Linked DNA regions of Anolis sagrei. The protein of the gene in region 1 purifies or fractionates together with the protein of each later gene. This does not show direct contact. Links are inferred from orthologs where the notes say so. Each region holds a gene or a part of one and is shown in the gene's direction. Other genes may lie near its edges.

Evidence for each region. Proteins that work in one complex are often made in the same cells at the same time.
Region 2: the proteins of RUNX2 (region 1) and UBTF purify together in Homo sapiens (co-immunoprecipitation; 3 studies listed by BioGRID and IntAct, with this or other methods). This does not show direct contact. The link is inferred for Anolis sagrei from reciprocal best matches to the Homo sapiens genes RUNX2 and UBTF.

The regions. Positions count from the first base shown.
Region 1 is NC_090021.1:148,150,699-148,158,238, forward strand, and holds the start of RUNX2 (runt-related transcription factor 2), read left to right. Parts: upstream 1-4,519; 5' UTR 4,520-4,738; intron 4,739-4,948; 5' UTR 4,949-5,013; coding exon 5,014-5,071; intron 5,072-6,302; coding exon of another isoform or gene 6,303-6,325; exon of another isoform or gene 6,326-6,365; intron 6,366-6,443; exon of another isoform or gene 6,444-6,500; intron 6,501-7,540. UniProt on the Homo sapiens protein: Transcription factor involved in osteoblastic differentiation and skeletal morphogenesis. Essential for the maturation of osteoblasts and both intramembranous and endochondral ossification.
Region 2 is NC_090026.1:44,540,766-44,547,979, forward strand, and holds the start of UBTF (nucleolar transcription factor 1), read left to right. Parts: upstream 1-4,194; 5' UTR 4,195-4,286; intron 4,287-4,582; exon of another isoform or gene 4,583-4,713; intron 4,714-6,164; exon of another isoform or gene 6,165-6,351; intron 6,352-7,214. UniProt on the Homo sapiens protein: Recognizes the ribosomal RNA gene promoter and activates transcription mediated by RNA polymerase I (Pol I) through cooperative interactions with the transcription factor SL1/TIF-IB complex.

The DNA.
Region 1 (7,540 bases):
TGTTGTGCTAAGTATTATAGCATTTTGGAATGGTATAGAAAGCTAGTAAAAGTACAAAGGACTACAAAGGAGAGTGGCCTGCAGTTTATTTATAGAATACAGTCACATTGGTCTTAAATGGTACAATATTATTTTGCAATATTGCAATGGAGTTCAAGCTAGGACAGCAGTGGCTACCAGTTAGTTTTAAAAGGCATACTACAGACGTTTTACAGAACTACCAAAACAGAAATATTTTCTATAGGCTATTCATACAAGGTATTTTTCAGAGAAAAAATAGACTGTTTAGATCTGTTATAAAAACAAATTATTTCAACACGAATAATTTTTTGAAATGTATTATTTACATTGTACGCACTGCTTAAAAGCAAATAAATATAAACATTTAAACACCACACAAAAAGTGAGGATTACAGGTTTGCCAAAAGGATTTTGAACGTTTTGTGGTTCAGGAGGTTATATGGATTGGGGAAAATGACCTTGTTCATGATTTTATGGTAAAATAGATCCAAATGCATCAGTGATCATGCTGTTAATATAAGGTGGTGCATGGTTTGCAGGACCATTCTTTTTTAAATTATTTCCTCAATCATGTCCAAAAACATTCTTGGATCAACTAACTTAGAAAAATTGATGTTTACTTTTAGATTAAAAAGCATATTATTTTACTGACACAAAAGCACAGTATGTCACAGCAAATGAGATCTATATGCTGGATTTTGTATCAAAAAATCACAAGTCAAACAATTCCCAAATGTCTAGGACTTTGTGATGTATTTTCGAATGATGAGTGCATATTATTATTATTATTATTATTATTACTTATTTATATCCCACTTTCTCCAAATAATGGGACCCAAGGTTAACTACTTATCAAAATAATACAAGTTAAAAATAATACAAATATGTTGCTGCTACCAAACCACAATAGAGATTTCTGGACAATACTGTTGTCACATGGTAAAAAAAAGTAACTTTCAAAGTTTGCTTCAGTTTTTTTTGTTCTAAAGTTGTTGCTGCTGATGGTAGTGCAGTGCAATAAGTGATGATGGGAAAATGTGCAATGACAATTGGAACGGCTTTTTGACTATGATTTTGGATTGTGTTTTTTAATAATGTGTTTTAATTTTATATGATTTTTAAATTCATGTTTTAATGTATATATTTATTTTATGTCTGTTGTGTATATGACATCAAATTGTTGTCTTTGTAAGGCCGCTCTGAGTCCCCTTCAGGGTTGAGAAGGGTGGGGTATAAATACTGTAAATAAATAAGTACATGGTTGATAACATAAATAGAATTATCTTTACCTTCACACATATCTTTTTAAAACAAAAAGGACATATTATTACTCTATTTTTATCTTTAAAATATGTATAAGCCATTTCAAAGAAGACAAACCACAAAGCATGTTTATTTTTAAATCTGCATTACAGAACTTGTCACACCATATCTCAAAAAACAAAAACAAAGAAATAATCCCAAATAAAACTGCAAATAGGTCTAACACACAAACACACAAGCTATACAGAAGCACAAAGATTAGTGTTTATTGGCCTTAACGAATGTAATGTTCACTCATATTAGGGAAATTATTTAAATTATTTAAACATTCAAGATTTAGGTTGCTGGAAGAACTGCAGATTTCAAAAATATGTCAATATATAGCTTACAGCTTTGTTTAAGAAAAAATGTATCTTCTATTCCAAGCTTCAAAGTACCTTCCAACCGTGGTTTCCTTACCAATATTTCCAAGCAAGAAAAAACACGCTCGGAAATACGCTGATGCTCCCTAAATAAATTTATTCCATCTTATATACATTTACATATTCATTTACCTAGCAGTAAGTTACACTGAGAGCCAGCCTGATATAGTCATGTGAGCAGTGCATTGGCTTTATTTTAGAGTAGAACCATAAAGAATTTCACTGTAAGTCTCAAAATCCATCTACATAGAACCATAGAACAGGAAGAGACTTTGTGGGCCATCTAGTCCAACGTTCTGCCAAAAAGCAGGAAAATTGCATTCAAAGCACTCTCAATAGATGGCCATCCATGAGGATGGGTTTATTTCCAAGTATCATTCCTAGTATCAAACTATAACAAGTAAAAACCCAAAATTGCTGAACAAATTTTTTAAAAGCATCCAGTCCAAATGTCATGCATATTTGATAATATACTGTACATACATATGTATAATATCCAGTTTTTGATTGTATCATTCACATCTGAGCCATCATTTAAATTAGTTAAATTTAATTATGTGAATTTATAAAAAGATCCTTACTGTGGCCCTCTTGAAATGCCTGATGATTGTTAAGTGCAAGGGAGGCAACTGTTATGTAATCTAGAACAGGGCTTCATAAACTTTTTTCCACTCGTGACCCCTTTTTGGGTATATAGGTATATAAAACAGGTATATAAATCAAATATTTACTAATAATAAATCAGCATTTACAAGGCTTGCTAAACAGGCTGACTTTCCTTTTTGTGTACAGCTGAAGCATTTTCTGCAGAGTCCACTGTAAAAACTGCATGTTGTTCCTAACAGATTTGAGTAAATCAGTGGGTGGCATTCAGAAACCTTTTACTGTTTTTGTGATACCAACATCGAGCTAATGGGGTCCCATTTGGCACCCGGACCCACATTTTAGGAAGCAGTGTTAAAAAGCTGGTAACTAATGGTTCAGTTTGTGAAAACTAGTTCATCCAAACCTGCCATTAAAACTATGAAGTACAGTAGAGTTTCGCTTATCCAATCTTCGCTCATCAAACAATTTTGTATTATCCAACACAGTCTGTCTTCCGCCCAGATCCACAGCTGTTTCAATACATTGCGATGTTTTGGTGCTAAATTCATAAATGCAGTAATTACTACAGAATGTTACCATGTATTGAAAACTGTTTTTTCTGTCGATTTGTTGGAAAACATGATGTTTTGGTGATTAATTTGTGAAATCATAACATAATTTGACGTTTAATAGGCTTTTCTTTAATCCCTCCTTTTTATCCAACATTTTCGCTTATCCAACGTTCTGCCAGCCTGTTTCTGTTGGATAAGCGAGACTCTACTGCACCAGGAGTAATAGGGACAAAGATTAGATAATTTGTCAAAGATGTTTCTAAGTTCGTTCTAAACACAAATGGGCAAATAAAAAATACCACAGTAAAGTATTTCTATTCTTTCACCAACATACCCAGTGGCACAATGGGTTCAACCCTTGTGCCGGCAGAACTGCTGACCGACAGGTTGGCGGTTCGAATCCGGGGAGCAGGGGTGAGCTCCTGTCTCAGTTCTAGCTTCCCATGCGGAACATGAGAGAAGCGTCCCACAGGATGGTGAAACATCAAACATCCGGGTGTCCCCTGGGCAACATCCTTGCAGACAGCCAATTCTCTCACACCAGAAGCGGCTTGAAGTTTCTCAAATCGCTCCTGACATTTTTAAAAAAAACCTACACAATATAATTTAATTCAACTTGAGGCTTAAATCCTAGGCAGATTCACTTTTTAATGATGGGCGTGAATATAATTAAGTAGCCTTTGGTAGATAATTGCATTCTAGCCCATTTTAAGAGGCCATATAAACATACACATCAATCTGTCCAGGCAGGACAAATGAACCAGATTCGCATTCACTTTCAAAGAGAGCATTCCAATTACTTGATACTTGCTTGCCAAAATCTGCTTACAGTAAGCGCTGTTTTTTCTTCTTTTTTTTTCTATAATATACTAAGTATATAATTATTTGGCATTAATTTTAATATTAAACTCTTTCTATTCTATATCCTCCCGTTCTCCATTTTAAAATGTAGATGTTACCATATGTATATGACAAGTTTTGTACGGAACAGAAAAGGTTGACATATAATTGCACTTAATAAAGCTGCCATCTAGCCTTGGGAGCACGTAACCTAGACAGACATGATTTAAGGTTTGCAAAAGAATCCCCAGACTAACACTTTGGTGACAGCCAATTACAGACCCAAAACACAGCCTCAGTAAGCTGTCTGCTAGTAGGACTTGAGGAAAGGTAAAGTTTCTTACAATGAGTTACAGATTCACAAGCAGAGGAAGAGAAGAAAAAGAAAAACAGAAGGAATCCAGCAAATCTGAAGCAGACCCCAAGATCATGATAGAGCCCAAAGATGTAAATTACTGTAAATCATCACTGTTGTTCAGAATTTCACACAGACATTTGTGCCAATTCTGGCATGCTTCTCCACGGACACAATTGGGATGGGGGGGGGGGGGGCTAGAAAGAAGAGAAAAAGAGGCAGGGAGAGTATAAACGAAGTTCTGCTGTCCATATGCTTAAACAGCACAGGGGTTTAGGCTGTTTCAGCATTTTGTATGCCCTCCAAATCCTCATGAGTCATAAAATTTAAAAAGCTATATCCTTCTGGATACCAGGAAGGACCTTACCACGGGCCTTTTGTCAGACTTTCAAAAGGGGGAGGAAAGAAAAAGCCACAGTGCTGGGCAGTCCCACTTTACTTGACTACTATGATGTCACCAACCACATGATTCTGTCTCTCCAGTAACAGTGCTTGCAAAAAAAGGGATTTTTAAAGCTTTTGCTTTTTTGGATTGTGTGAATGCTTCATTTGCCTCACAAACAACCACAGAACCACAAGTGCGGTGCAAACTTTCTCCAAAAGGACACAGCGAGAAGCCTTTGGTTTTTAAATGGTTAATCTCAACAGGTCACCAGCAGCCACTGAGACCAACAGAGTCAGTAAGTACTCTCAAACCACAGTCTATTCAGTAATAGTAGATCTGTCTAATATTTGCTTATCCCCCCTCCTTTTTTGGAATTGTTTTGTTTCTTTGCTTTCTGTAGCATGTTACCCATCCTGCAGAATTTTTTGACACAGAAGAGAAATATATGCACCCTGGGTATGCTGTAAAAACTAAAATCAAGCTTGGCTATGGTTTGTGATTTCAGTTTAAGGCTTCAGACAGTTTTTGCACCAGAAGATAATCGCATACTGTGTGGCAGAGGGGAGAGCGATGGCATCAAACAGTCTCTTCGGCTCAGTGACACCTTGTCAACAAAACTTCTTCTGGGGTAAGTGACTGCCAAATGCTATGAAATATTGCTGATACCAATGAACTATGCATTACCTATTTCTGTTTAAACTGATACTGTTGAACATAGTGGAAATAGAACTGTGTATAACATTGTTGTTGTTTTTAAATACCCAGAATAGTACTATTTTACTATGTCTACAATTCCTTGAGCTACAGGTGTGCTCTTCATTATGCAATTCTCTGAATAATCAGGCACCTATATGGAAAACTTACGACTGCTGAAGTCAGCTTTACAAATATAGAGTTACAATGTGGGCCATCAATATTAAACCAACTGAATGAAGGCCCATCAGCTTTTTCATTTATTAAATTTATTAAAATAGGTATATCCCACGATATATTAACAAACTTCAGAGCGACAGAATTCTTCAAATTTGTATCATCACATTGCAATCAAGTCATATAGAAGACAAAATAGACGGATCAACGTAGATCCCGATATTTTGTTATAATAAGAAGGCCCCATACTCCACTGCGAACAATGCATTAGCACAGAGAAACTATCCTTCTTTCCATGTAAATAGATGTGACAAATTTCAGAATAATTTATGTTAAGGATCACAGTTGTTGGCAAATTTGTGTACCTAACCTGACTTATAATGTATCAATTCATATTCTCAATGTTATAAATGTATTTACAAATATACTAAAAGTTAAAGGAAACACATTATGCTCTTCTGAAAAGATTAACATACATACGGAGATCTTTTTTGCAAAACAGAATGATGCAGATGGATGTGATACCTCCAATGTTGCAAATGTTTTTGAAACCTTTGCCAATGCCTCTTTTAAAACAGACGGCTTATAATATCATCCTAGGATAAGACGTAAACTCAGCAAAGGCACTGAATGAATGCAGTCCACGAGGAAAGTTCCCAAGCTGTAAAGCAGCACCTCTAACAACCCTTTGATCTTGGCCATCTAGGATCTGTTTTTGAAATTATGTCAGTAACATATATTAATACCACATGAAATAAAAGACTGCCAAATTTTGTTTAAGAATACATAATACGACTAGGAGTTTTATACAGCAGGCAGCAGTGCTGAGATCTTTAGCTTCTAAAGATACAGTTGTCTAAACCCCAAAGGATTTTTGCCCAGCAGCCAGAGAGGTGTTTTTCCTTCCTTGGAAATACTACAAACATATTTTCAAAAATGTCTAAACAAGATCAACACAGAGACAGAGGGGAAAAAATCAAAACACTTACAATATTCCTTTAACGTTGTCCATCTGGTTCAAAATTATACCGAGGCTGTAAGCTAATAAATTTCCCTTTTTCTTTTAAGGGGGGGGGGGGGGCAACGGGGACCTGATTGATGCTTGAAATGCTTTCAGTGCAGGCACCCACCTTGTCTTCTCTCTTTAGCTGATGGCCGGAGTTCCTTTTACCCCTCCTACTTCACACGTTTCAACTGGCTCTTGTCGAAACATATGAATCTAGTGCAATCTGCGAGCACAATTAGATATGAAGCAAGGCTTGTACTCAGGGAACAGAGGGGCCTGTGTAATTTCTGATATCCAAAGACATTTGAATGCATTATATAGACCTCTGCCTCAAAGCTGACTTTCTGAAAGTTTGTCACACTGAGCTACACCGTAATTAGGCAACCAGCATGCTAAAATGTGGCACAGAAGGCCAAGGCTTTTTAGAATAGCAAGCATTTTTTTCAACCCAAACATCTACTTTAATGAAGCACAGCATAAAGGTAGCCAGACCACATTATTCCAGCGTTTATAACAGGAAGAACAGTTTACACGTACAGGGACTTTCTTTAACATCCAAAAAGAAATAACAAGAAGTTTAGCTGACAAAATTATATCTTGGGTTAACTGTTTAATTTTTCTCCTTTGGGTCATTCTTTAAATCACCAGAAAATGTCTAGGCCACGGAAAAAATCATCCTTCCAAATCTACCACGTTGAAATAAGACTGGCCAAGGAAATGGCCAAACAATAATAAATTTTCAGGTCAAAATATTAATAGCTCTTTACAATTTTGTGGTGGCAATATTTAGTTAAAGGTTAAAGCTGTTTGTTGTTGTTTGGTAGCTGTTTCAAAAGAGTAATATAAATATCTTAAGTCATTTACAGCTAGTATATGTCCATGAAAAGTTCTGATTCATGCCAATGGGAATGCATCAGTTGCTTTACTGTTCCATTCAGCAATCTCTTCTAATCAGCAATGGCTTCCTTGTCGGCCAAATTATCACCTGTCCATTAGAATGAAGACCATTATTGTTGGCTAGTAAATAAGCTAGTAATTTCCACCATTTATATCCAAGAGAGATTTAGGTAATCTTTTTTAAAAATCCGCATGTACTTATGGCAGCAAGTGTATTTTATATCATTTATTTGTAACTCATATTATAAATGAATGCAAATTCAGTATCTGAGGCCTTGATCTAGATTACTTATAATTTAGCCGGTTAATTTATTGTGCAGGTAA
Region 2 (7,214 bases), on another chromosome or scaffold:
AGTCAAACTAGCAGCCCTGGAGTAGACAAAGTGGAATCTGTGATGCCCAAAGCAACCACTCACAGACAAACTTTCATTTTACCTCAGCAGTAAATGAATTAACAACCTATCACAAAGCAGCTTTCATTTTACCTCAGCAGTAAATGAATTAACAACCTATCACAAAGCAGCTTTCATTTTACCTCAGCAGAAGAAATAACAATCACAGAGCAGCTTTCCTTTTACCTCAGTAATAAAAGAAAAACAGCCAATCACACAGGAGTTGTCATTTTTTCTCAGCAGTATAAGAAATGAAAGCTGAGCTCTGATTTTTTAACTTTTTAAGCCCTTTCTGCAGTGTTTTTCAGTGTTTTTATGAGTGAAGGTCACTCGTTGGCCTGATAGGTGTATTCACACCTAGCTCCAGCAGGGAAGAGCTCTTTGCCCCACTCCAGCCATTCCACAGATATATAAACCCATTGTCCTAATTCCAACAGACCTCACTACCTCTGAGGATGCTTGCCATAGATGCAGGCGAAACGTCAGGAGAAATGCCTCTAGAACATGGCCCTATAGCCCGAAAAAACCCACAAGAACCTAATAAGAAATACTGTTTACCCACAAGTATAAAGAAATTACATATTATTATTATTATTAAACTTTATTTGTACCCCGCTAGCATCGCCCGCAGGACTCGATACGGCTTACAAAGGCCAAGGCCTCAACACAACAACAGCAAAACAATAACAGTACAATTTAAAGCAAAATAAAAACATAAGCAATAAAAACAATACATCAATTATGCAATAAAAACCAGGGCCAGGCCAGTGATGGGTACAAGTTAAAAAGTGCTGGGTCTGGCAGGTGGTATTTGGATTTCCGGGCAAGTGCAATGTGCAGAGAGTCTTAAACTCTAATAAAGTGCTTCTGGGACGTAGTGCTGGAGATTATCCTATTCCAGAAAGGCACATCGGAATAGCCAGGTCTTCAGATTCTTCCTGAAGACTGCCAACGTGGGTGCTAGTTAGTCTAATGTCTTTGGGGAGGGTGTTCCAGAGTCAAGGGGCAACCAGAGAAGGCCCTGTCCCTCGTCCCCACCAAACATGCCTGTGATGCAGGTGGGATCATAAGCAGGGCCTCTCTGGATGAACGAAGGGATCGTGTGGGTTCATACACGGAGATGCGGTCACGCAGGTAGGCAGGTCCCAAACCGTTTAGGGCTTTGTAGGTAAGCACCTGCACCTTGAATTGGGTTTGGTAGGTAAACGGCAGCCAATGGAGCGCCTTAAATCTCTGTGTGTGAATCATCTATATAAATAAAAATGTCAGGAGGGTCTTGATTTACGTTTTCTTGCCCTGGTGAAGGGACTTGGACTGGATAACCTCAAGTATGGGGGTTCTGTGTGGGAAGTTTGCCCCAGTTATGTCGTTGGTGGGGTTCAGAATGCTCTTTGATTGTAGGTGAACTATAAATCCCAGTAAGTACAACTCCCAAATGTCAACGTCTATTTCCCCCAAACTCCATCTGTGTTCACATTTCGGCATATGGAATATTCGTGGCAAATTTGGTCCAGATCCATCATTGTTTGAATACACAGTGCTCTCTGGATGTAGGTGAACTACAACTTCCAAACTCAAGGTCAATGCTCACCAAACCCTTCTAGTGTTTTCTGTTGGTCATGGGAGTCCTGTATGACCCGGTTGGTTCAGTTTTATCATGCGATTGTAGGTGAACTATAAATCCCAGCAACTACAACTCCCAAAAGACAAAATCAATTTTTTTGAGTGAAGGACATACATTGGATTGTTAGGTGTCTTGTGTCCAAATTTGGTGTCAATTCGCCCACTGGTTTTTGAGTTCTGTTAATCCCACAAACGAATATTATATTTTTATTTATATAGAACAGGGGTCCTCAAACTTTTTAAACAGAGGGCCAGGTCATGGTCCCACAAAATGTTGGAGGGCCGGATTATAATTTGAAAAAAACATGAATGAATTCCTATGCACACTGCACATATCTTATTTGTTGTGCAAAAAAAACCCCACTTAAAAACAATACATTAAAATGAACAATTTTAACAACTATAAACTTATTAGTATTTCAATGGGAAGTGTGGGCCTGCTTTTGGCTGTTGTGATAGGATAATTGTTGTTGTGTGCTTTCAAGTCACTTCAGACTTAGGTAGACCCTGAGCGAGGGCCAGGTAAATGACCTTGGAGGGCTACATCCAGCCACTGGGCCTTAGTTTGAGGACCCCTGATATAGAAGATAGAAGAAGATTGATAAGATTCCCATCCAAACCCAAGTAACGAAGGTAGTATAATCCAATTTAATATAATCTAAGTGCAAAGATGACTGCAGATGCAGATTGTGGCCAGGAAATCAGAAGACGCTTACTTCTTGGGAGGAGAGCAATGTCCAGTCTCGATAAAATAGTAAAGAGTAGAGACATCAGACTGGCAACAAAGATCCGCCTAGTCAAAGCCATGGTATTCCCTGTAGTCACCTACGGATGTGAGAGCTGGACCTTAGGGAAGGCTGAGCGAAGGAAAATCGATGCTTTTGAGCTGTGGTGTTGGAGGAAAGTTCTGAGAGTGCCTTGGACTGCGAGAAGATCCAACCAGTCCATCCTCCAGGAAATAAAGCCCGGCTGCTCATTGGAGGGAAGGATACTAGAGACAAAGTTGAAGTACTTTGGCCACATCATGAGGAGACAGCAAAGCCTAGAGAAGACAATTATGCTGGGGAAAGTGGAAGGCAAAAGGAAGAGGGGCCGACCAAGGGCAAGATGGATGGCATCCTTGAAGTGACTGGACTGACCTTGAGGGAGCTGGGGGTGGTGACGGCCGACAGGGAGCTCTGGCGTGGACTGGTCCATGAGGTCACGAGGAGTCGGAGACGACTGAACGAATGAACAACAACAACATAATCCAATTTAAAGCAGAAAACCTGGGACTGAAGGCCTGTCTGGGAGGGCCTATAGACAATCTTCTTCTATGTATTGTCGAAGGCTTTCATGGCCGGAATCACTGGGTTGTTGTAGGTTTTTTCGGGCTGTATGGTCATGGTCTAAATCTTCTTCTATTTACAAATCGGAGCAGAAAATAAAGGCAATGGAATCCCATACTATTTATGATTATTACTTTAAGGCGGGGGAAGAGGACTGCATAGATCTGGCTGAACCCGCCTACCTCTCACCATAAAAAATACACCTAATGGCGTCTTCGTCTGCGCGTCAAAGAGTCGCTTTTGCGCATTGGAAGCGGCGTTAATTTGACAGACAGCTCCCAAAGCCGAGGATTGGCTGGAGCCGGAGATGACGCCCTTAACAACAAAGGTGGAGCTCGGAAAGTAAAAAAAAAAAAAAAATTTAAAAAAGAGAGAGACAGAAACGAGGAGGGAGGAGGGGAAAAAAAGACAAGCTTGCCTTTTTGGCTTTGGAAAAACGTCATGATTATTAATTTTTTTTCCCCCTCCACAAAAAAATCAAAAGAGGAGTGTCCCTTTTGGGTTTGTTTTTTTTCTTACTAGTTGTTTACAAGTCAAACAAAAGAGGGACCCTTTAAAAAAAAAAGATGGCTCAGTTGCAAAAAAAAACATGTCCGCAGTGGCAGAAAAGAATGGTTTGCTTTGGGCATCATAGAAACGGATCTTTTTCTATCTCTCTTTCCTTTTGAAAAGAGAAAGAGAGAAAAAAGGGGGAGGTCTCAGGAGGAATTAAAAACCCGACTGCAGTGCGTGTGTGATTTGTGATCCCCGCCAAAAGGAAGAAGAGACGGAGAAGAGGAGAGGATTTGTGGCAAATGTAGGGCTTGGCCCCCTCCTCCTCCTCCTCCCTTCCTTCTTTCTCTCTCTCTCTTTTCCCCCCTCCCTTCTGGTTGGAGTACAACAGTGTTGCACAAGCAAAAGAGCAATAAAAACACAAGAGAGAAGCAAAAAGGAAAGGCGGACAGAAGAGCACAGAGAGGGAAGAGAGAGGAGGCGGGGAGGAAGCAGCCAAGATGGGTCCTGCCTTGGAGGAGAAGGAGAAGAAGGAGGAAGGGAAGCAGGAGCAGCTCTGGCCTGAAGGATCCGGATTGGAAGAGAGAGAGAGGAGGGAGAGAGAGAGAGAGAGAGGAGGCAGAGGCAGCAGCAGCAGCAACAGCGAGCGCGATGGAGGCGGGGGAAAGCCGCGCCAGCTCTCTCTGCGGGGACGGGAGCGAGGAGTCCACGCCCGGGGCCAGCGCTGCAGAGCTGGCGTGCAGTCAACCCGCGCTCCTCCGGAAACAACGAGCCTCTCTCTGCTGCCTTTTCCCCGAGAAGCAGGTAAGAAGGCCAGGGGACGAATAGGGGGGTCGGTCTGTCTGGGGAGATGTTTCCCCCCGCGGCAAAGGCGAGGAGTGGGTGGGCGAGGAGGGGAGGGGGAAAGAGGGAGAGAGGAAGGCACGATCCGAAGTGGAGGAGGAGGAGAGCCTCTGCTTGCTGCTGCTGCTACTCCTGCTTCCTCCTCCTCCTCTCTCCCTCTCTTTCCTGCAGCCGGGGCTTGGCTCGCCATTGAGCCGAGGGTGAGCACCGCCATCTGGGGAGGGAGAGGGAGGGAGAGAGAGAGAAGGAAGGAGGCGCTTTTGTTGCCGCTCCGGAGGAAGCAAGCAGGCGAGAAGAAGGGAAGGGGAAGGCAAGGCAGGCGAGGTTCTTGCAGCAGCTGCAAGCAAACAAGAAGGGAAAACAGGCAGGAGAGGCTCTTGCAGCAACGGTAAGCAAACTGGGGAAGAAAAACACAACCCGTTCTTTACTTTTGGGGATATATTGATTCGAAAGTCGGGGGTTTTTTTGCCACGCGGCTGCCGAAAGCAGGAAAGAGAAGGGCCACGAGTGGCGGCCATGGAAGAAAGGCTCTTCTTTGGCAAAGGGACTGAATCGCTTCTATTCTTCCCTAATATAAAGTCTAAAATCTTCCCTTTTTGTGGTGTCAAAGAGAGACTGAACTCCTAATTTCCCCTCTTTATAGAGCCTAAATCCTCCCCCTATAAAATCTAAATATTCCCCCCTTTTCAGAGCCTAAATCCTCCCCCTATAAAGTCTAAATATTCCCCCTTTCCCCACCTTTATGGAGCCTAAATCCACCCCCTATAAAGTCTAAATTTTCCCCTTTGGCGGTGGCAAAAAGAGACCGAACCCACAATTTCGCCCCTTTATCCTCCCCCTATAGTCTAAATATCCCCCCCCTTTATGGAGCCTAAATCCTCCCCTATAAAGTCTAAATTCTCCCCTTTGCCGGTGTCAAAATAGAGACTGAACCCCCAATTTTCCCTCCTTTATCCTTCCCCTATAAAGTCTAAATATTCCCCTTTTTGTTGTGTCGAAAGAGAGACTGAACCCCCAATTTCCCCCCTTTATCCTCCCCCTATAAAGTCTAAATCTTCCCTCCTTTATGGAGCCTAAATCCACCCCCTATAAAGTCCAAATCTTCCCCTTTTTGCGGTGTCAAATGAGAGACTGAACCCCCAATTTCCTCCCGTTAATCCTCCCCCTATAGTCTAAATCTTCCCCTTTTTGCGGTGTCAAGAGACTGAACCCCCCCCCCCAAATTCCCCCCTTTACCCTCCCTCTATAAAGTCTAAATCTTCCCCTTTGGCGGTGTCAAAAGAGACCGAACCCCCAATTTCCCCCACTTAATCATCCCCCTACAAAGTCCAAATCTTCCCCTTTTTTCGGTATCAAAAGAGAAACCGAACCCCCAATTTTCCCCCCTTTGTAAAGTCTAAATCCTCCCCGTTTTTGTTTATTTTGACCCCCGACTAAAAAGGGAATCCTTAAATGTATTTTGGAAGTGAAGGCCACCCTATTGTGCCTTTTCTGTGCAAAGAAAGCAACGCCAATGGGTGCTTATTGGTTTGGGGTGTTTTCTTCCCAATGGGTGCACGAGGGGAGGCGCTCCCCGGGGGGATCTGGGCGAGGAAAGGCCGCGAGGGTAGCGGGAGCCACCCTCGCGGCCTTTCCTCGCCCAGATCCCCCCGGGGAGCGCCTCCCCTCGGTAGGCCTAGCTTCGCAGCCCTTCCGCCGGCCATGCCTTCTTCCTTCATGGCTGCCTGCCTCGCTGCTCTCTCCTCTTTCTCTCTCTCCTCGCCTCCTCTCCTCTCCTCTCCCTCCCGCCGCCCCCCTTCCTCCAGCCGCGGCTCCGATGGGGCTCTTGCTGCAGCGGCTCCTCTCTCCGGCTCCTGCTGCTGCTGCTGCTCCTCCTCCTCCCCTTTTCGCTTTTGCCACAACGAGGCGGGTTCGTCCTTCCTTCCTTTTGAGCGGCGGCGAAGGCAGCAGCAGCCCTGGCTTCGGCTTCTCCCTTCTTCTTCTTCTTCCCTTTCTTTCTTTCTTTCTTTGCGGAGGCGCCCCAGAGGTTGGTTTCTCCACCAAGGCGGCTTGTTTTGGGGGAGAAAGAAGGGGAAGAAGAGGGAGGATGTAGTAAGAAAAGGAGGGAAGGGATTCGGATTGGGAAGGGGGATATTAGAAGGGAATGGGGTTGGGGAAGGGAAAATATAAGAAGGGAATGGGTTTGCGGTTGGGGAAGGGAAAATAGAAGGGAATGGGGTTGGGGAAGGAAAAATTTATGAAGGGAATGGGGTTGCGGTTGGGGGAGGGAAAATATAAGAAGGGAATTGGGTTGGGAAAATATGAGAAGGGAATGGAGTTGGGGAAGGGAAAATATAAGGAGATAATGGGGTTGGGGAAGGGAAAATACAAGGGGTTTGGGGAAAGAAGGGATTTGGGGTTGGGGAAAATTTAAGAAGGGAAGGGAAAATATGAGAAGGGATTTGGGGAAATACAAAAAGGGATTTGGGGTTGGGAAAAAGCTTCCGATTGGGATTGCAAATCGCATAGAGGCGTGTATTTCAGTCGAGAAGAAAGCTCCTGGTTGGAAATAATAAGGAAGGGATTCGGGTTGAGATAATTTGGAGGGGGGGGGACATAGGGAGGTAGTTTAAGGGAAGGGATTTGGGTCGAAATGAAGCCTCCGATTTGGGGAAAATAATATAATATAGGGAAGAAAAAGAGGCACGGTTTAATGGAAGGGATTCGGATTGAAACCAAGTTTCGGATTGAGGTTGAAAATATAAAGATTTCGGTTGGGAATGGGGGGAAAATAATACAATATGGGGAAGGAAATGAGGTGGTTTAATGGCGGGGATTTGGTTTGAGAGGAAGCTTCCGATTGGGATTGAAAATTAATGGGAAAGGGAGGCACAATCTAATGGATTTTGG